3 linked regions of the Struthio camelus genome follow. The protein of the gene in region 1 interacts with the protein of each later gene in a pairwise test. Links are inferred from orthologs where the notes say so. Each region holds a gene or a part of one and is shown in the gene's direction. Other genes may lie near its edges.

The links.
Region 2: the proteins of STK4 (region 1) and RASSF1 interact in binary tests that used the Homo sapiens proteins (3 or more experiments, as listed by UniProt). The link is inferred for Struthio camelus from reciprocal best matches to the Homo sapiens genes STK4 and RASSF1.
Region 3: the proteins of STK4 (region 1) and SAV1 interact in binary tests that used the Homo sapiens proteins (3 or more experiments, as listed by UniProt). The link is inferred for Struthio camelus from reciprocal best matches to the Homo sapiens genes STK4 and SAV1.

What each region holds. Positions count from the first base shown.
Region 1 is NC_090959.1:7,812,997-7,820,262, reverse strand, and holds the start of STK4 (serine/threonine-protein kinase 4), read left to right. Parts: upstream 1-4,255; 5' UTR 4,256-4,355; coding exon 4,356-4,387; intron 4,388-6,607; coding exon 6,608-6,688; intron 6,689-7,266. Other genes in the region: TOMM34 (mitochondrial import receptor subunit TOM34), read right to left, coding at 673-817, 1,098-1,252, 1,941-2,093, 3,838-3,949, 4,030-4,150. UniProt on the Homo sapiens protein: Stress-activated, pro-apoptotic kinase which, following caspase-cleavage, enters the nucleus and induces chromatin condensation followed by internucleosomal DNA fragmentation.
Region 2 is NC_090955.1:23,904,106-23,911,025, reverse strand, and holds the start of RASSF1 (ras association domain-containing protein 1), read left to right. Parts: upstream 1-3,847; coding exon 3,848-4,118; intron 4,119-4,393; coding exon 4,394-4,518; intron 4,519-6,920. Other genes in the region: ZMYND10 (zinc finger MYND domain-containing protein 10), read left to right, coding at 918-1,039, 1,284-1,409, 1,716-1,806. UniProt on the Homo sapiens protein: Potential tumor suppressor. Required for death receptor-dependent apoptosis. Mediates activation of STK3/MST2 and STK4/MST1 during Fas-induced apoptosis by preventing their dephosphorylation.
Region 3 is NC_090946.1:80,909,254-80,916,161, forward strand, and holds the start of SAV1 (protein salvador homolog 1), read left to right. Parts: upstream 1-3,874; 5' UTR 3,875-4,080; coding exon 4,081-4,174; intron 4,175-5,901; coding exon 5,902-6,348; intron 6,349-6,908. UniProt on the Homo sapiens protein: Regulator of STK3/MST2 and STK4/MST1 in the Hippo signaling pathway which plays a pivotal role in organ size control and tumor suppression by restricting proliferation and promoting apoptosis.

The sequences.
Region 1 (7,266 bases):
CAAAAGCTAACAGCTGTTTTTTTTTTTTTAATTAGGGTTAAAAGCAGCATCTACTGCAGCAAGATATATGGTAGCTCTTAACCACCCCCCGGCACAGCACAAAGCTGGAACCAAACGTTCTTTATCCTAGAAATGATGTACTACAGGAATTTTGAAGCAAATGTTGAGCTCAAGAAGCAGTTAAAAAGGGAAAAAGGAAAGTCTTTCAGTCTGCAAAAAAATAGTTTAAGAATATTTTAGAGTGACTGAGAGCCTGCACTTTAAGGATGCAATTTTCTAGCTGTACCAGCCCAGAATATGCTCTGCTTACTGCAATTGCTTTAAGTATGCCAGAAGAAGTACTTTGACTGTTTGAGCACAGCACTGCACGCCTTGTGGTTTTTGGGGCACAGACACTATTCAAAATAACAAAGTCCAGGCAGATATGCATTAAAGGGGGGGGGGGGAGGGAAAACTCAGCAGCCCTAAGCTAAGCGTCTCCCAGCATTTTTTATGGCATCTGATCAAAGAGGAATGTTGATAAAAGCTAAAGGGAAGACTGCACTTGGAGGAACATGTGTTTTTCTTATTCATTTGTCTGGGAGCAGACATCAGACAGCTTTGTCAGGAGTACCACAATGGCTTTTATAAAGGGCCAAGAAGTACTTAGGCAAAGAACTGTCCAAGTAATACCTGTTGGTGTAAGTTGCACATTCCTTTTTGAGCTTTAAACTCTCACTGTACTTCTCAATTGCTTTTTTATGGTTTCCTTTCTTCACAAGTTCATTTCCTTCTTCCTTCAGAGTTCGAGCTCTCTCAGTGCCAGCAGCAGTCTGGTCTGGAAACAACGTGAAAGAACACAACACACTATAAAACTGGTAAGAGCTGAGCAGCCTCTCAGAAAGCAAATATCGCTATACCAGAATTGAGGCACAGAGAGACCAAAGGATCCAGAATCAACCAAAAAGGCTGTGGCAGAACCAGGAAACAAGTCCAGGTTTCTCCAGGCCTCAACCACAGCTGTAGACATGCCAAGCAGGTATGGCAGCTACCTTGTTCTTCATCACCTCTCTCTGTGCTCCAGGGCTGTGTGCACAGCCCAAGTAACACGCTCTCACCTGGTTTTCCCAGAGGTGCAGTTTCACAAGGAGTGGTCGGGCCTCCTGCAGAAGGAACATTCCATCTCGTCTGGGCAGAAATGGGGACTGCGGGGATCGGAGGGAGCTTCTCACGCCAATTCACACCATCCTTCTCCAGCAGGACTTTGGTCATTCTGGAAGAGACAGCTAGGCAATTACTGTGTCTGTTGGCAGAATGGGCCATGCAGTGGCCAGTGGGGAAGCCCAGCTTTTTAACCTGCCTCATGTATTGAGGACTGCATCTCTCCACTAACCCCTTTGCATACATCTAAACTAATCTTTTGTCAATGAGATATTAATACAAGGAGCTTCTCTGCCTCAGTGAGGCCAAAAATATCCTAGGATAAGGGCTGGGACGGTCAGAGCTCAGTTGAGCAGAAGAGAGACTTTTGTGTCATTTCTCAGACAAACAGCAGAGCGAAGCAGACAGCTCCAGGAAAAGAAAATGACAGCCCATCAGCCCTGCCTGCATAGGGAGGCCTGATGAATAGGATACTGGTGCTTATAGTTCAGTTTAAATAGGCATTGGTAAAAGCCAAAACAGTTAGAGGGAATTCATTCCCAGCCCTAAACAATGGCCCAGGAGCTTGAAAGGAACTAAGTACAATAAGGACATTAGCACCTATCACCACAAGCAGGAAGTACGACCAAGCCTGAACTTTGCACAAAGCATCAAAGGCTTCAGTTATTTTATTAGGGTGCTCAGGACCCTGCTTGCTGCTGACATAGCTGCTTCCGTGAGTCTCCCTGTTTTGCAGTGAACTAAACTGCTATATTCTCAAGGCCTTCTTCCAGAGCGTACAGTATAGTATTTGGCATTACCTGTTGACACCATCGTGTGCAGACTGTATGGAGCAGTCGATCTGTAGCACAGTCTTGTAGTCAACATAGGCCAGCTGATACCTCTCCAGAGCCTCGTAAGCTGCTGCCCGCCTGAGGAGGGGTTTGATTCCAAAAGGGACCAGTTCAAGGGCACTGTGCCAGAGGGGAGAAAGCAAAACAGGCCTATGAGCCACCCAAAAAACTGCATTCAGAGAGGCAGCTTTGGAAAGTCAGGTATCCTCACACGGGAACTACAGACCTTGTCTTATGAACCACATTTTCACAGGCCCAGTCTTGCAAGTACAGAACAGTGAGGTGTCAGAATCTTTGTTTTCATTTCAAATGATACTGGACTGCAGGAACTGATCCTGAAGCAGTGAACTTTTTCTGTCCTGTCTCATTTCCAACATTAATATAATTACTGGTGACAGAGGAAAAAAAAAACGAATTCCCTCCTCCTGTAGAGCAATCATAAATGAAGGTCTGCTTTGGGGGCTATTCTTAAAAACTTAACCTGCATATCACAGATGAGTGGTGTTTATCCTGCTCCACACCAGCTAATAGCTGCTCTTCTGTAGGACCAGGTTGTTCATGCTGTTACGAGCTGCTTATTACAGACAGACATGCATATCCATTCTGAGGAATAAAGACTTACACGTCCCCAGTGAAGTCACTGGTAGGGCTGCACAAGAATCTCCCTCAAATTAACTCCAGAGAGCTGTTAAGATTTTAAGTCAGCAATCTCATCTTCATCACTAGCAAATACTGGCATTTATCCTCAAGGGTAGCCATATCCAGTTCCTGCTTTCAGCACAAGACTATAAATTATGAGCAGCATAAGCTGTTCCAAGTTCTGCTGTCCTTCTCATAACCTATCTCAGGCCTGGTATTCTCTGAAGAGCAAGTCATACAGTTAATTATACAGTGCCATTTTCTAATGCGAGTTCCTTGTTATAGATCTGTTTTGGAAAGAGTCATTGGAAACAACAGGCAACCTGAGCCACCTGGTGCTACTCCCATGAAACTCCAAGCCAGGTCTGGCACTTGGCTGCACTCACCAAGTCACTCCAGATTTACAGCAGAGGTGCTGCAGACACAATCAGCCCCTGCTCACTTGTGCTACCAGGACGAAAACAGAGAGACCAATGAATACTAAAGCTACCTATGAGAAGAGGGTCCGTTGACGCCTCTCAATGGGGAACATATCTTTTCCTATCCTTTCTTGCTCAAGGGCTAGCAAGTCCCGAGGACTGCTCCGATCAACAGCAGAAAGCCAGGACACGGCCACATGGCCACTGCTACTTGCGGAGGGTGAGCGAGGGGAGGACAGATGGGGCAGCCCCGCCACCTGCTCCGCTCCCCCTAGCCCCTGGCCCTGGCCTTACTTGGGGTAGGGGTAAGGGAGGAGAACGCAGTCAGGCCCTGGGCAGCAGGGCCCCCCTAACCCCTCCAGCTTCCCTCTCTGCCCCATTGCAGCCCCCAAGGCCTCACCGCCCCCCAGGGCCTCCTCAACCCCCCCCCCAGCCTCCCCTCAGTACCCCCTGAAGGCCTCCCCGATCCCCCCTGCCTCACTGCCCTCCCCTCAGCACCCCCCAGGGCCTCTTCAACCCCCTCCTCAGCCTGCCCTCAGCACCCCCCCAGGGCCTCCCTGAACCCCCAGCCTGCCCTCAGCGCCCCCCCCCAGGGCCCCCCCGACCCACCCCCTCAGCCTGCCCTCAGCACCCCCCAGGGCCTCTTCAACCCCCCCCCCAGCCTGCCCTCAGCACCCCCACCAGGGCCTCCCCGCCCCCCCCAGCCTCCGCTCCTGCCCCCGTGAAGGCCTCCCGACCCCCCGCCTCACTGCCCTCCCCTCAGCGCCCCCACCAGGGCCTCCCCGACCCCCGCCGCCGCCGCCTACCGGGAGCAGTCGCTCACGCAGAGCCCGCAGGCGCCGTCCTTGAGGTGGCAGGCGGCGCGGTTGGCGAGCAGCACGCTCCTCTCCGCGGCGGCGGCGGCGGAGGCGGCCTCCCCTGCGGGCGGCACACAAGCGGGAGGGGGCTGCGGCGCGGCGGCCCCCTGCCCGCCATCCCCACCCCGGGACGCGCGGTACCTGCGGCCTCCAGCAGCGCCAGGGCCCGGCTGTAGAGGGCGGCGGCCGGCCCGTACTGCCCGCGGCGGAACTCCTCGTTGCCGGCGCGGCGCAGCTTGCTCACGCCGCCCGCCGCTTCCATGGCGCCGCCCGCCCCCGCCGCTCCGCGCAGGCGCCGCCCGCCTCGGGGGCGGGGCCTCCGCACAGCCCCGCCCCGCGCAGCCGGCGGGCCGGGGCGGGGCCGGGCGGGGCCGGAGCGCCGGGCGCGCCCCTCCGGCTTCCGGCGGAAGCGGCGCGGCCGGTCTGTCATGGAGCGCTGAGCGCCCGCGCCGCCGGCCCGCCGCGCTATGGAGACGGTGCAGCTGCGCAACCCGCGCCGGTGAGCGCGCCGCGGTGGCCGGGCGGGGTTCGCCCCGCCTCTGCGTGGCGCTGGGCGGGCGGCGGCCCTGTGGCGCCGTGGCGGGGGGGGAGCGGCGGGAGCCCGGCGGGCCCTTCCCGTGACGGGAGGCGGCCGGGCTGGCTGCCGCAGCTCCCCTTCCTCTCGCCTTTCCTCCCGCGGGGGTTGGCGCCCGTCGGCGGCCGCGGCGGAGCGTGGGGCCGTCAGGCGCGGCGAGCGGCGGAAGCTGCCGGCTCTGCCCTTCGCCGCCGCGGGCAGCCGCCGTTTCGCCGTCGAGCAGCGACGGGGCCGCGCGGGCCGGGTCGGACGCGCGGCCCCGTTGCGTTAGGCCTGGGCCAACGCTGGAGTGCTTCGCGGCGCTTCGGGCGCGCGTGGCTCGGTGCTGTCGCCGTGCCCGTGGCGTCACCCGACGCGGGTAACGGCGGAGAGCGCCCGATAACGCGGGGCGAGCCCCGAGCGGGCCCGCGCCAGGCAGGCTCGAGGCGCGTTGGTGCCGAGTGGCAGTAAGATGTTACGTCGGCTCTTCGGGCCCGGTGAGCGGGTTTGGACCTGTGAAAACTCTAGCCGGCGTTACACGATCGGCGTTTCGCCTTCTTACTTTTTCTTTTTTGGTGGCCCAGGCCTCGTTTTAACCTCGGCACAAAGCATCTGCCAACTGCAGCACCGTTTCTTGGTCTCTTTGGAAATGGCGGCTACTGTGGTTGCTTCTTTATTATTTATATATCTTTATTATATATGCTTTTTCCCTTTTCTCCTCTTCCCACCCCTTCCTCCCCCCCTGTTTTCTTAAGGACAAGTAGCATTTTGGTGGTTAATGCTTATCTGTGCAGAGAAGCTGGTGACTACTTTCAATATTTCGCCACTTCCTGAGTCTGCTTCTTTATAATGTTTCCTTCACTTCAGGAAGCCATTGTATGTACTCCGTGCGCGTACTGCTCCTCCTATATGGCTTTTGTGCATAAACATAATAGCCAGGGATCAGTGAGTGGTTTCTCAATTTACTTTTGAAGATATGGGGAAAAAATTGCATACTTAGTGTCAGAACTGCGATGCCTCTGTTTGAGGCCGTGATGTTTAACAGTAGCAGTAGAAACTTTCATTAGTTCTGTGTCGTGGCAGGCAACCATGAATTAACGTTGCTTGAATGTAAGACTAAGAACATCTGGGAAATGGTTCTTAGTTTGTCTTCTGCAAACTTGTGTGAGCTGGTTTGAGGTTTTCTTTTTTGGGCTTTTTTTCCTTTGGTCTTTCATATAAAAGTGCTATAGCACTTGTTTGTGGACTGTTGGATAGTTAGTAAAATGGTTTGTTTTGGGAACTTTTTGTCTCCCCCTGCCCCCTTCTCCCCCTCCCCCTTTTTTTTTTTATATGGTCCTTAGCTGTTGTATGAGGTTTCTTGATCAGCAGCTCAAAGTATGGTCAAGGTGAACTGAAAAGAAAGGAATGGGTTTGCTTGTTGCTTTGTATATGGAATTTTTCTGAAAGGTGTGTGGGATGTGTTAAGTGAAGGATCACAGGGCATGTTTGTACAACTGCATGTTTTTTTTCCTGGGAAGTATTTCAGCTGACTCTTCTTAGCAATAAATCTAAAAAGAGGGATGGAATGAGCAATGTAAAGATTCTAAAAGAGTCAGAACCCAGTTCCCCCCTCCTGCATATTCTTTTCCTCGTATATGCCCAGGCCCACAAAGCCAAGATCTGGATTTCTGATGTTAAGAGTGTACAAGTAAGATTAGTATTGTCTCTTTCCTCTCAACAAAAGTGTCCCTTACATACAAGGGAGGGATCTCCCTACAAGGTGTCAGAGAAGATCACGTGTCCCCTTTGCATGGCCTTGGTACATATACTGCTATACGAGATTTTGAGCTTTAGCGGGTATGTTCAATAACTAAGAAACATTGCAGTGCTACTGTAGATTTGACCACCAACATATAGGTCCTGAGATATATTCTGATATCTTAAAGAACTGACTCTTTGTTTCCGCCAAGATCTGTGTGCCTGATTAAACTTTGTTGTCTGTAATTTCCAGTCCTCTTTTTCTATTAGGTAATAATATTGTTTGGTCGTCTGATCAGGTGAAATAAACTTGCTTCATGTTAAGCCTTGCGTACACTTAAGTGGAATTATTTATTCTCTTGTTTCAGCGGAGTCTACATTGTCATAAAATTAAATGTAATGATTTCTGTCTTCTTACGTATGCAGGCAGCTGAAGAAGTTAGATGAAGACAGTTTGACCAAACAACCTGAAGAAGTATTTGATGTATTGGAGAAGCTTGGAGAAGGGTGTGTGTTCTCTTACAGCTTGCTCAATGGGTGTTTTTCTGAGAACAAATACATATAATGGCTGTTTTCGATGTTCTCTGATTTTTTTCACTTTTGTCATGATCTTATTACCGCGAAGGTATGCGTTAGCATGGCAACTTTACTTGGTAGGTAATAGAGTAAAGTATTTGTTTTCCAGGAGTGAGATGTCTTAATCCGGACAGTGGCTTATGATTCAGCAGTAGAGACCCCAAAGCGTTATTGAAATTTGGCAAACTATAGTTGATAGGGCTGTATGGGAACTCCAGAGGTCTTGTAGAAGACTGCTAACTCTTGTAGAAGATCCACACAGTAGAATTGAACTTGCCTTTCCTTGTGCCACTTGCTAATGCAGAGCAGCTTGGGAACACTCAGGGAATGACAGGTTTGACTTCTTACGTGGCTTATTTGTAGAACTGAGTAAGAAATCTTGCTAGCTGATGTAAATAAAGAGAGTGAAAATAATATAGATCATAGCTGACAAGAACAAGTCAAACTCTTTGAGCAGAGCAGTAGTTCTTGCTGTTGCTCAGCTAGTACCATGTTTTGGAAAAAGGAAA
Region 2 (6,920 bases), on another chromosome or scaffold:
TCCAGCCCTTGACCAGGCTGCTGCCCTTCTTCCATCTCTCTCCTTTTGTGCTGGCGTTGCTCGTGCCTCCGAGGAGGACTAGGGCTCAGCCCCGCAGGCAAGGCAGGGGGAGCCAGCTGGAAGCGCACACACGGGCTCCATGCTCTGCCCGGCAAGCAGTGAACTCACTCGCTGTCACTGAGCCAGGCCAAGAAAAAGCCTTTTTCCATGCGTCTTCTTACAGAGCAGCCCTCCTCCCCTTCTAGGCCTGGCTATTTTTACTCTACTAGAGATGCCAGCACTGTTTGAAGCAGCATCTTCCCCTCCAGAGCCTGAACTCCACACGCCACTCTTGGCTGGTGCTTTCTCTTTCACACTGACTAGCCCTTCTCCTGGTGTTTGTGTTCAGGGAAGTGATGAGTGGAAAAATGTGCTCAGACAAAAGGCTCTGGAGCGCTGGGTTCAAGTTGCTGCCTGAGCCCCAGCTCAGCGGAGCAGTGAGATCAGAGGGCTTTCTGTTTGGGAGCCCAGGCCTCGTGGCTGAACTCTTGCTCCCAGCCAGATCCTGAAGGCTTTGGCTCGTTTCATCTCTGACTGCTTAGTGCCCCTATTGGGCAAATGAGTCTGCCCGAAGGCTTCTGCCTCCCTTTTCCTGGGCTGGGGACTCCGAGAGAGCGCTGCAGATGTAGGAGAGGCACAGCAGCACAGGGGGGCACAACATCTGCTGAGCATCCGCGTTAGCCAGGTGCCTCAGGTGCTCTCGGAGACCTGGGCGCAGAGTCTTTTCAAAAGCTGGGTGCCTCCGTCTGCGTTCCCGGGGGTACGTGCTCCTTGTGCCTTGGGGAAGCTGCTCCCCTGTGCTCAGATTGCCCCAGGATCGCAGCGTGCTAGATCTGACTGTGACCACCCCTTGCTCGCTGCTCCGGCTCTCCCAACAGGTTCCTGTCATCTGGGACCACATTCTCAAGAAGAACGCAGGGAAGTGGGAGGCCATCGCCAAGCACCAGGTGAAGCGCATGTTCAGCCCTACCGAGGAGGAGCTGAAGCTCCAGGCACGCAGGTAAGGCCCTGGCCCGTCTCAGCCCGTTCTCCTGCCACCTGCACGCAGCAGTAGCCAGCATCCCGGTTAGAGAAGCTGGCGCTCAGCACTGGGGGGACAAAGGGGTCTGTGGTAGTAGCCAGGGAGAGAGCTGTGAGCGGAGCAGGGTCAGTCTGTCTCCTCGGTGGCAGGCTGCAGCCGAGGACAGCTCGACGTTTGATGGCAGTCCCCGTGGGCAGCCTCACCCCCTCTCTACCCGATGCAGGTGGGCGCAGACGTACAGCCTGGACCTGATGGAGGCTCTCGTCCCCGACAAGCCCAGATGCAGGGTGTGCGGCTCAGAGGCGGCTAAGCGGTGCTCTCGCTGCCGGAACGAGTGGTATTGCACGCGGTAAGGGGTCCTGCTGTCCCCAGTGCCTCCCCGCAGACCAGAGCGGCGGAGGCTGCGAAAGGGCCAAGGGAAGCCATCGATGGTGGTCGGGCTCCCATCTGCTGCCCGAAGCCTTGCCTCCCTTGGGAGCTGTGCAGGAATTTGCTTCCTCCCAGCTACCCGGTGGGCAGAGGGGTGCTCGTGGCAGGCTTTGTTCCTTGTCACCGGTTAGCTCGCTAGGCCGGACTAGGCCCTGTGCTCCTATTCGAGTTGTGGGCGCCCCGGTTGGAGGCAGAACCCCCTGAGCAGCGGTGTTCCCCTCTGCAGGGAGTGCCAGGTCCAGCACTGGCAGAAGCACAAGGCAGCCTGCAACCTGATGGCTGAGGCGCCAAAGCAAGCGGACGACCTGACAGCGTAGCTGCGATTGGAGCCCGACCTGGGGCTTGGAGAGGTAGAGGTTTCCCCTGCGAGCAGCTCAACTAACTGAGGAGAAGCAAGCAAAGGTCCCTAGTTAGAGCGGGGGCAGGCGCTCCCCTCGGCCCTGGGGTGCGCCGGGCTTTTGGGGCAGTGGCGAGGGGGTGTTGGGAGGCGCGATAGTGCCTGCGGTCACGGCGCTGGGAGCTGGCGGAGCGGCCGGAAGGGTGACGCAGGGCGGTTCTTGCAGCCACCCTCCTGGCCTTGCCCCTGCTCTAGCGAGGCACAGGCTGGCCGCGGTCCTGCCCACGTCGGTCACCGCCAGCGCAGGGTGCTGCAGCCCCGGTTCGTCCAGCTGAACCCCCCTCCCTGCTCGGAACAGGAACTACTTAGCGCGCTTGCTTCTGGAAGACAGCTCTCGACCTCGGAGCGTTACCTGGTGAAAGAAACAGCCAGCTTGCTGCTGCCTCGGTCGCCCTGCGCGAGGCCGACCTGCCTGCCCGCCAGCCATGCTCGAAGCGCTCCTGCCGCCAGGCCCCTCACCGAGCTCGGCCTCTCCTGTCCCCGCCGCGCTGCCTTCTCCCGCCAGCGGCAGGAGTTTCTGTGCGCCCCGCGGGTTCTCAGCTCCCTCCCGCATCTCGCGCCGAAGATGATAAACCACTTCCTCCCCGGCCGTGCGCTCCTGGGGTGCTTTGGGCGTCAGTTTTTATGCCGCGCCACCAAAGAAATCCCAGAGAACCAGTGTGGTCACGGAAACGGCCGAGTCCTCTCCGGCCGGGGTCCGTGCTTGTCCCTGCGCTGAGCCCGCAGCGGGGCCGGGGTGGGAGGCGGCCCCTCACCACCTCTTTTTGGTCAGCCACCCTCACAGAGCAGCATGGGGGAAGGGAGGCGGAGGAAGTGGTTAGCACGAAGACCTCGCGACGATAAAGCAGATGAGCTTCTTGGGTTGTTGTCATCTGCGAGCCGTCCTGCCCCGGCGAGCCAACGCGCGCCCTGTGCCCCGGCACGCCGGGCCGCGTTGGCAGAAGTCACGTCTGCCAGGCGTGCCTGGCTCTCGGCCGCGTGCCCCCCCCCGCGAGGGGGGCTGGCAACGCGTGCCCCGTCAGGGATCCCAGCGCCGTCGCTGCTGTTACTGAACGCACGGGAGGAGCTGAACGCCGTGGCGGGAGCCACCAGCAGCTCTCCGCGGGGCTCGCTGCCGCGGGCACGCTCTGCCTCGGTTGCGCCCTGAGGCCGGGGCAAGTCCCCTCCCCTCCCGACACCAGTCCCCAGGCACCGGAGCGGCTCAAGAGCACCCGGGAAAGACAGGCAGCGCAACCCCAGGTCTCGGCGCGAGACGGCCGCGCGTCCGGCGCGCCAAGCCTAAGCGAGGACGCAGCCCCGAGCTCCCGGGCTCCAGCGCTTGGCTGAGTCTCACCCGATGCAAGAAGGCGGTTTGCAAAGTGCCGCTGCCGACCCGCTTCGCCGCTGGGAAACTGAGGCACAGAGCGAGGCTGCCTCGGCCCCGAGGAAAAGCCCTGGGTGACGGCTCTCCGGGAGCTGCCCCGGGCCAGGGAAACCCAGCTTGCAGGCTCAGGAACAGCGAGGTGGCAGCGGGGCCACCGCGGGACCTGGTGGGCCCGTGCCACCCCCTCAGCGGCCTCCCCTCCCGGGGAACAGCTCCGCCAGCCACGCGCCCCCCACCACCACCGCCGTGACCCCCTCGCCGGCTCTTTCTGGCTCGGACCCTGCGTGCGCCCCCGGCCGCCGTCTCGGAGCTCACCCCGCCGACGGAGCGAGCTCCGGGGCTGGGGCCGGCCGCCTCCGGCGGGAGGGCTGCCAGCAGGCTCAGCCGGCGCCCCCCGCCAGGAGGCCGCGGTGGGGGCCGGGCCGCCGGCTGCGGGTACCCACGCCAGAGGCGGCCGCGGCCGCGGCGCTGCCTCAGTTTCCCGGCTCGTTGGCCGGACGGGGCGGCCCCCGGGCCGGTCCCCGCCCCGGCTCCGGTCCCGGCTGCGGCGGCCGCCGCCCCCGCCCCGCCGCCGCGCAGCGCCCGGGGCCGGCGGGCCATGGCCGGGCCGGGCGGCGCGGAGCTCATCGAGCTGCGGGAGCTGGAGGCGGAACCGCGGCCGGGCCGGGGCCGCCTGGAACGGGCCAACGCGCTGCGCATCAGCCCGGCCCGCCGGGCCGGCCCCGCCGGCGCGCACCGGGACCCGCGGCTGACGGCGGCGCCGGGCGCCGGGCACCGCTTCCAGCCGCGCCGCCGGGGGCTGCACACCTGGTGCGACCTGTGCGGGGACTTCATCTGGGGCGTGCGCAGGAAGAGCCTCCAGTGCCTCCGTGAGTAGCGGCACCGGGCACGGCCGCGGGGTCGCGGCTCGGGGCAGAGCCGGGTGGGGAGGCGGCGCCGGGCTCGGCCCCGCCGCCGCGGGGGGGGCCCGGAGCGCAGCGCTGCCAGGCTCCGGGGCGGCCGGCGCTGTCCCAGCGCCCGAAAGCGATCTGCCGGCAGCTCCCGCCCGAGCCCAGGCAGCGACCCCGGCCTCCCCGGTGCTGGCGGCCGCCGTGGGGTCCCCCCCCGCTGACCCCCCCCCCCGCGCTCCTGTCCCCGTCCCCAGACTGCAGCTTCACCTGCCACTACCGGTGCCGGGCCCTGGTGCGGCTGGACTGCAGCGGCCCCCGGGGCCCCGGGAGCGAAGCCGACGATGCCCCCGAGCAGGCGGTGGAGAAGGACACCAACGTGGTAGGGGTCTGGCCCCGGGGCGGCTGGGCTGGCGGGTCGGGGCTGGGGGCGGCGGAGCGGGCAGGGGTGTGGGCACCCCGAGGGGCTGCCCATGCCGGGCCGGGCCGGGCCCCGCTGGGTGTGCCGTGCTATGCCGGGCCGTGCCACGCTATGCCGTGCTGGACTCCGTTTGGCCGTGCTGGGCCATGCCGGGCCGGGCCGTGCTGTGTTGTGCTGGGCTGGGCTTTGCCACGCTATGCCATGATGGGCCGTGCCGCGCTATGCCGTGCCGGGCTGTGCCAGGCCGTGCCAGGCCATGCCGGGCTGTGCCGTGCTATGCCGTGCCGGGCTGTGCCAGGCCGTGCCAGGCCATGCCGGGCTGTGCCGTGCTATGGCGTGCCGGGCTGTGCTGCACTATGCCATGCCAAGCCATGCTGGGCCATGCTATGCCATGCCATGCTGTGCTGTGCTATGCCAGGCTGGGCCATGCCGGGCTGTGCCGTGCTGGACAGTGCCATGCCGGGCTGTGCCAGGCTGGGCCATGCCGGGCTGTGCTGTGCCATGCCAGGCTGTGCCATGCCGGGCCGTGCCGGGCTGTGCCAGGCTGGGCCATGCCAGGCTGTGCTGTGCTATGCCGGGCTGTGCCAGGCTGGGCCATGCCGGGCTGTGCTGTGCCATGCCGGGCTGTGCCATGCTGGACAGTGCCGTGCCAGGCTGTGTCATGCTGGGCTGTGTCATGCTGGGCCATGCCAGGCTGTGCCATGCCGGGCCGTGCCGGGTTGTGTCATGCCGGGCTGTGTCATGCTGGGCCATGCCAGGCTGTGCCATGCCGGACAGTGCCATGCCGGGCCGTGCCGGGTTGTGCCATGCTGGGCCATGCCAGGCTGTGCCAGGCCATGCCAGGCTGTGCCAGGCTGGGCAGTGCCGGGTCGGGCCATGCCGGGCCGGGCTGTGCTATGCCATGTTGGGCTGTGTTTGGCTATGCCAGGCTGGGCTGGACTTTGCCATGCTATGCCATACCGAGCCGTGCCGTGGTATGCCGTGCTGGGCTGTGCCGGGCCATGCCGGGCCGGGCTGGGCTTTGCCATGCTGTGCCATACTGGGCTGGGCTGTGCTACGCTGTGCCAGGCTGTGCTATGCCGTGCTGGGCTGTGCTGCACTATGCACTATAGCATGCTGGGCCATGCTATGCCATGCCGGGCCATGCCGTGCTGTGCTATGCCAGGCCAGGCCATGCTGGGCCATGCCAGGCCATGTGGTACTATGCCATGCCGGGCTGGGCCAGGCTGTGCTATGCCACGCCAGGCTGTGCCGGGCCGGGCCGTGCCGAGCCATGCTGGGCCATGCTGGGCCATGCCATGCCGGGCTGAGCCATGCCAGGCCATGCCGGGCCGAGCCATGCTGTGCCATGCCGGGCTGAGCCATGCCAGGCCATGCCGGGCCGAGCCATGCTGGGCTGTGCCGGGCTGTGCCATGCCAGGCCATGCCGGGCCGAGCCATGCTGGGCCGTGCCGGGCTGTGCCATGCCAGGCTGTGCCATGCCGGGCTGAGCCATGCCAGGCCATGCCGGGCCGAGCCATGCTGGGCCGTGCCGGGCTGTGCCATGCTGGGCCATGCCAGGCCAAGCCATGCCGGGCCATGCTGGGCTGAACCATGCCAGGCCATGCCGGGCCGTGCCATGCTGGGCCATGCCGGGCCGGGCCATGCCGGGCTGTGCCGGGCCGAACCATGTCGGGTCGAACCATGCTGGGCTGTGCCATGCCGGGCCATGCCATGCCGGGCCGAACCATGCCGGGCCATGCCGGGCCGTGCCGGGCCGTGCCGGGCCGAACCATGCCGGGTCGAGCCATGCCGGGCCATGCCGGGTCGAGCCATGCCGGGCCGGGCGGGAGCGGGGTCGGGGCGGGGCCGGGCGGGGGCCGGGCGGGGCTGAAATCAGCGCTGGGTGACGCGTTGGGCCCGCGTCAGCCCGACGGCGGCGGGACGGGACGGGGCGGGGCGGGGCGGGCCGAGCCGGGACAGGGACCGGGACCGGCACTGGGACTGAGCCGAGCCGAGCCGGGACTGGGACTGAGTTGAGCCGAGCCGGGACAGGGAGCGGGGCTGAGCCGAGCCGAGCCGGGACAGGGAGCGGGGCTGAGCCGAGCCGAGCCGAGCCGGGACAGGGAGCGGGGCTGAGCCGAGCCGAGCCGGGACTGGGACTGAGCCGAGCCGAGCCGGGACAGGGAGCGGGGCTGAGCCGAGCCGAGCCGGGACAGGGAGCGGGGCTGAGCCGAGCCGAGCCGAGCCGAGCCGAGCCGGGACTGGGACTGAGCCGAGCCGAGCCGGGACAGGGAGCGGGGCTGATCCGGGCCGGGAGCGGGGCAGGGAGCGGAGCGGGGCCGGGGCCGGGGCCAGGCTGGTGCGGGGCGGGCAGGCGGCGC
Region 3 (6,908 bases), on another chromosome or scaffold:
GTGTGTGGAAATAAGTTACACTAAACAATGGAAGAATCACCAAACAGAAGTGAAGACATGAGTTGTGTTTATACAACTTGTAAACTCATTAAAGCAGTGGAGTATGTTTAATAAACAACTCACAGAAGAATGAAGAGGGAGACCTAAATGATTTCTTCAGTGGAATCCTGTCATTAGGGCTGCCAGAGCGGGACCTCTGCCGTTCATGCAGTGTTCTGTTTGACTTGAGTGATCATTTGAATAAGGCCTGTTGTTTCCAATAGATGCTAATACAGAATCTAAGTTTGTAATTAATTGTGAGGAAACACATTCAAGGTGAATATGAAAAACTCAGGGAATAACAGCCTCAACTAGTTTCCTGCACTATTACAAACATGGATATTAATGTCAGTAGATGAAAATAAACATGCGTTAGGAAAAGCAGGATAAACCAAATTGTATTTGGTTGAATATTACCTGATGATACTCCTAGACAAACACGCACTAATGGTGTAGTCATGATGGTCAAGGAGCAGCAAGGTTTTGTAACGACAAGTAGTATCTCCTATCAGACCAATTTATGAGGCTAGGGAATACAAATTTTCTGGGAACAGCTTCAAGATTTGAGATAGGTCTGACATAAACAGCTGAATGAGAGCTTGTACGCTTGTATAACCCATTGCTGCAGTCTAAATAAAGATGCTGTCGTTCCCTATACGGGCTCCTTGCCCCTGTCAGGGCAGTAAGAGATTTTTAAACAGTGTAAATAAAACTGGTGAAAGGAGCCATATTGGCCTTACTTGAAACTGGTCCTCTTTAAATATATTCTGCATAAATAGTGTATGCAGAGGAAGAGGGTAAAATGCTTTGTCTCTGAAACCACTAGTGCAAGGTGACAATTATGACAGCATTTGTAATGAGCCAGCTGCCCCCTAGAAACTGGGATAAGACTGCCTATGAGCTGTTGAGTCACCTGCAGAAAATTGGTCATTTGGTACTGATTAGTGTGTGGCTCTAGGGGATGCTATCTATGTCTAAACAGTTACCTGCTAATTGGAGGGTTAAGGGACTGAAATATACATATGGAGTATGACCTCCTCTTCTCCTTCCCCCTTCCTCTTCCCTTCCTTTATGCAAGCAATATAAGGCCTATTAAAAAAAGAATGTAAGATATATCAGGTTTTTTTCTTACACCTGCATGCAAGAATGGAGCATAAAGACACATGTAAAAATAATTATGAAGAATCTGTGCAATTTGTTGTTGTTGAAAGGTCACAGTGAGTATACAGGAGTATATCTTTTTCAAAAAATGAAAGATTTATCAAAACAATAATGGAAAAATACCTTGGAGTAACATAATCTTTATACATTATTTCATAACTGTCTTATTCTAAATACCTGTACTGACCGTTTTTCTGAGTAATCTCAAATTCTGAGATTTACATACCCCATTTTTCAGTCCGCAAAAGCTTTTAAAAATTCAAAATTGTATTGAGATAAATTGGAGCTTCTTTTTCAATTTTGAAGCAGGAACATTTTGTTTCTCATAGTAATCAATAAACAGTATCACTTACTAAAAAGAAAAAAAAACACTGTGTAGGTACCCAGCCTGTATGTTAGCAATATTAAAACCATGCCTAGGCTAAGAAAATTAGCGATGCTTAAGAATATTTCCAGGCAGCACTGCAGCTGATGTTCAGATGATCAGAATTATACTTGGAAAAACATTATTAGATAGTACTGTTTAAAGCTATTTCACATCTTGACCTAGGTTTACTTCTAGGGCTCAGTATGTGACCAAAGTGTGAAAACTGAACAGAGGGAATGAGTATGTATTTAAACTCCTGTGGAATTATTTTGAAATAACTCATTTTAAAGGCTAGACTACTCACTCACCTAATTTTTAATCTCCTGGTACTTATGGTGTTTTTAACCAAACATACAGACGTTTCGAAAACACAGTGCCAAAAAGGGAGCCCAGATACAATGATAATACTGGAACAGTAAGGAGAAACTGAGAAAAGGGAATTCGACTTCTCCCTTTCTCAACCCATGCTCTTTTGCCCTACTTTTCTTTCACTTAGCTTTAAAAAACTAAACTAACCACGGAAGAGAACAGGAGGAGGAGGATGGAGGAGGAAGAGAATGTTTGGTAAATATTTTATTTAGACAGACTCCAATTTCAGTAGAATATTTGTGTCAATTCTCAAAAGTGCCTTCTATAATTACATATTCTAGACTCTTTCTGTACTGTACTTTCTGTTGCTACAGAACAATTCAGGACAATCCTTTCCCAAATGGAGTGAATTCAGACAAAGGTAGCGCTGCTTACAAACAAGTGTTGTGTTGTATATTGGTTGAGTACGTCAGCTCAGAAGTTAAGCAGCAAGTGTTACAAAGTCTAAGCTAGTGAAAATAAGCATATAAACATGTAAACTCTTAAGCATTTGTGATCTTCCATGCACGAGTGTCTCCTATGCAGTGTAGGGATTTTAAAGATACTAAAGTATTTAACAGTATCATAACATGCAGTCAAAAATTATTGAATTCCTAAGCGTTGTTCACGCAACAGATCTTGACAATTAAGATATTAACTACTGTGTTACCAAAAGGTGTTTTAAATGTTTTTAACTCTTGCTTTATGAATCACTGTGAAAATAGAGGCACATAGATGTTTGTGGCTGAGATTTCTGAGAGAGGGAAGAGGAAGTATATGACTGAGTCAAATTTTTGTGAATTAAATCTACACAGCTGAAGTACTACTTGTCAATTTAGAATGGTATAAAAGCATACATTGCCACACATTCACAAATATTCATTTAAATTCAAAGAAAACTAAATTATTTGAATTCTGTTTGAAAAAGGGATTGTAACGTATTTGATTTTAGCCATTTACAGATTACATGTGAGCTGCAGAAGGGGATGGTTTGGCTCTATCAAAGAACACTAAAAGCCTTTATTTTGCTTTCAACAAATGACATCACTGTTATAACTGTGCTGTGTTGTCTCCCAGGTTTTACCTGTTACAGTCTCCTGTTCTCACTGTCATTGCTGACAAATGACTTGTGTATAAAGAAAAAACAATTGTATATTTTTTTCCTTATCAGGTTTGTTTTGTTTCAGTGTAATATACTGTCCTTATAACATCATGTAAAGCAAAGGTAAAACAACTTGTACATTATTTATGAATGTAAAAAGAATAAATTTCTGTATGCTCACTGCTTGTTTTTTTGGTTTAATCCAATTTATCTACCCATGGAAATTGTAGGTATTTCACATGCTATCTGAAAATTCTTAAGTATGTACATGAGTAAAGTGTAGTAACAGAAAGGACGGTAGTTCCTCGCTGCCTTAAAGTATAAAATAAAAAGTGGGCGGTGTAAGAGGTAGGTTCACTATCGCACCAGCTTTTTAAGAACAACAGCAGTCGCATACCCGTTCTTTGCCTTTATGGGTGTAACACAGGAGGCACTCAGTTTTCCCTTCATTTAACTAAAATTAATGTTTGTTTGGTAACTGATGCGAGGGGCAGGGAGGTGATACCTGTGGCAAGCAGAGGGCGGCTCTCTGGCGGCAGCCGCCCCTGAGGGAGCGGCTCTGAGGTGGTTGGGGGGGGGGGTGGAGGCGGCGGCGCGCGCCCTTCCCGCCTCCGCCGCCAGCGCTGCGCATGCGCCCCTTCCCCGCCGCGCGGGGGCGCGGTGACAGCACCAGCTTCCCCCCCGCACCGCGCCGGGAGGGCGGAGGCCGCTTTCCCACAAGCCCGCGCGCGCGCGCGCGCGGCGCCGCCGAGCGGGGCACGTTAGCGACGCGCGTGCGCGCGCGGCTCCTCGCGGACTCCCCCCCCCCCAACCCCAGCCGCACCCCGCCCCCTTCCCCCCCCCCCACCGCCACGGCCCAACGGGCGGCGCGAGCCGCCGCCGCCCCGCGGCGCTGAGCGCCCCTCCCCCTCCCCTCCCCTTTGACGGCGGCGGCGGCGCGCGGCCATGCGGGCACCGAGCAACGGCCGCCGCGCCTGAGGGGGGCCGCCGAGCCCTGAGGAGCGGCGGGCGGCGCCGGGCATGCGGGCGCGGCCCCGGTGGCGGTGGCGGGCCGGGAGGTGGGATGCTGTCGCGGAAGAAGACGCGCACGGAGCTCTCCAAGCCGGGCGAGGTGCAGGGCAAGTACGTGAAGAAGGAGACGAGCCCGCTGCTTCGCAGTGAGTGTCGGGGGCGGCGGCGGGGGTGGGGGCGGCCCTTTGCTCGCCACCGCAGCCTGCCTGCGGCCCGGCGGATCCTAGGGGCTGTTTTGAGGCGTTTTCCTCATAAACGGGGAAAAAAATCGCCCCGTTGGTAGCGAGACCTGACCGAGGTTAAACCTGAGAGAGAGGCGTACCCACACAGTAAACAAACTTTTTCTTTAAGCTTTTCAGTCCCAACTTTTTTCAGTCTCAAGAGGCCAGGGCTAAGATCATCCGCAGACAGATCTCCCTGAGGTGAACGGGGCAGTTCAGCTCTTTCCAAAAGTCAGTGTTTTTCCCAGGCCAGGCTGTGTCGGCTGCCAAAAGGTGTGCGCCTTGAACATGAGGTAACTGTCCACGCCAGTCGCGTAAAATCCCTGCGGAAGCGAGTGCTCCGGTTTTAACGGTGAACCGACGTGGTGAGGTCACTCCTACATACCTCGGCCGCGCTAGTCTTCATCCCGTTAACCTGGCGTTAATGCTGCGGCTTCCTTCTTGCTAGGGTTTTACAGGAGAATAGCGGAAGCGCGTAGAAAGTATTGAAAACAAACTGAGACTGAAGCGCATCGTGCTGTAATGGTAGGATTAGGTTAGCTTTGAGGCCGCGACTAACAGCTGAGCGGCAGGCAGGAGCAGGCAGGCGCTCGGCTTCTCTGGAAGTCCTTGCTGCACAAACAACCCGCTCCCCAACCAACAGGCAAAATCGTTTAGCAGCCTCACAGGCTTAGGCTTTAAAAAAAGAACTACTTTTCTTTTTTTCTTTCTTTCTTTCTTTCTTTTTTGTTTTAGGTTTTTGGTGTTTCTAATGGGTCAACCCCTTCTACGCGCTTATGCTATTTGCTGTGAATTAATGACCAGCTATTACATGACTGCGTTGTAACGACTGTTACAAAATTACTGATTACACCTTGCGCGATGCACTGAAATTTTGCTTTAAGTTATACGTTTATAAGAGTTTGCTTATAAATAGTAAATGATAGGCATGGCTTGCTCATAAACGAAGCTTGTAGTTTGTGTTAGCTCACCTGCAGGAAAACTACTTATTCACGCCGTGCTGAAAGTAATAACAAGGAGTATATCATATACTGGAGGGAAGCAGTGAAATTGCTTGAATAGTTATCAGTGTTTGTGTCCCTTTAAATAAAGGAGAAAAATGAGGTATCTTCGTGTTAATTTGAGAACTTACACGTGCAAAATGACAACGTTTTGCTGATTAAGCTTTGTTATATGTGGAAAATATACAAATTTTGTTCCTGGCTCTGTCATGGAGTCCTATAAGCATGTAAGCATTGATGTATTCAGTTACTCAACGTTCATAAAGACAGCGGTCCCAATAAGGTGGTAGACTGGTAGCCAGGAGAGTTAGATTTTCTTGATGTTTCTAGTAGATAAAGAGGTGTGAAGCCTGGCTGATGTAGCCACAGGCAAAAGTGTGTGACTAGTTTATTTTTTGCAGATGCAGTTGTACTGGCAAAACTGTGCTCTTTGGGGGATTGTTTCCGTTGCTAGAGGAGAGCGTGATGGGTTTTGTTGTACCAATACAAACTGCAGCGTTACAACTGTACTCGCCTCTGCATTAGAGGCGCTGTAAAGGGGTTCTGGCTTTTGAATTTCCTGAATATCATAGCGTAAATCAGTGTTGCAGCTAACCAGATATTTTGTGCAAGTGGAGCTGAAATTCTTATTTCGGTTTTATCCTGAAACAGATCTGATGCCTTCATTTATCCGTCATGGTCCAACCATTCCAAGACGAACTGATATCTGTCCTCCTGACTCAAGTTCTTCTGTATATGCTTCTGGAGGAGATGGAATTGTTTCCAGAAACCAGAGTTTCCTTAGAACTCCAGTTCAGAGGCCACCTCATGAAATAATGAGACGTGAAAGCAACAGACTGTCGGCACCTTCCTATCTTGCAAGAAGTTTAGCTGATGTCCCTAGAGAATATGGCTCTTCCTCCCAATCCTTTTTAACAGAAGCTAATTCTGCTATGGAAAATGGAGATGCTGGTGCCCGTTGTTATTATTATGATCATTTTTATGATGCCCAAAGGAGGCGTCAGTTAAATGATCGCGTACATGAGGACTACAGGTATTATGAACAAAACAGTGATCTTTTCCAGAGGATGTCACAGAATCATGGGAGGCACACTTCAGGTAAGTATTGATTTATTTTTCTTTCTCTTCTTTTCTTTTCTTTTCTTTTGTCTTCTTGAGAGTGGCTGCAGAAGTGCTTCTGGATGCTCGTGGTCGTATATTTTAAATGTAATACTGTACAGGCTGGAGCTTCTTTTTAATGATGTTTCTGTTGTTTGACTTTACTACTTGTTTACATTTCTTAGAATAAAGAGCTAGATCACGTGTATTAAGGAGAAAGGAAAAATATATTCAAACAGTGGGCTATTTATAAAATAAAAGAGGTAAGCTTGAGCAAGTTTTTTTTTAATGACCAATATTAGATATCACCAGCTTTGTCAAAAGTTGTGTAAATGTTTATTAGATTCGTTGCCTTTAACAAGTAAGAGTGAACAGGTTATGAATTGTTGTGGATGGTTTTTCTTGTTATTGACAGAGTAATATTCTGAGGCATACTGTTGATTTAGATAACTTTATCTGTATTTGCATGTAATATTGTGGAAATTGTGTTTTCACTCTTGCATTGCTAGGAAACAAGGATTTTATTCATTAGTAGACATCTGTTATTATCATTAAATACA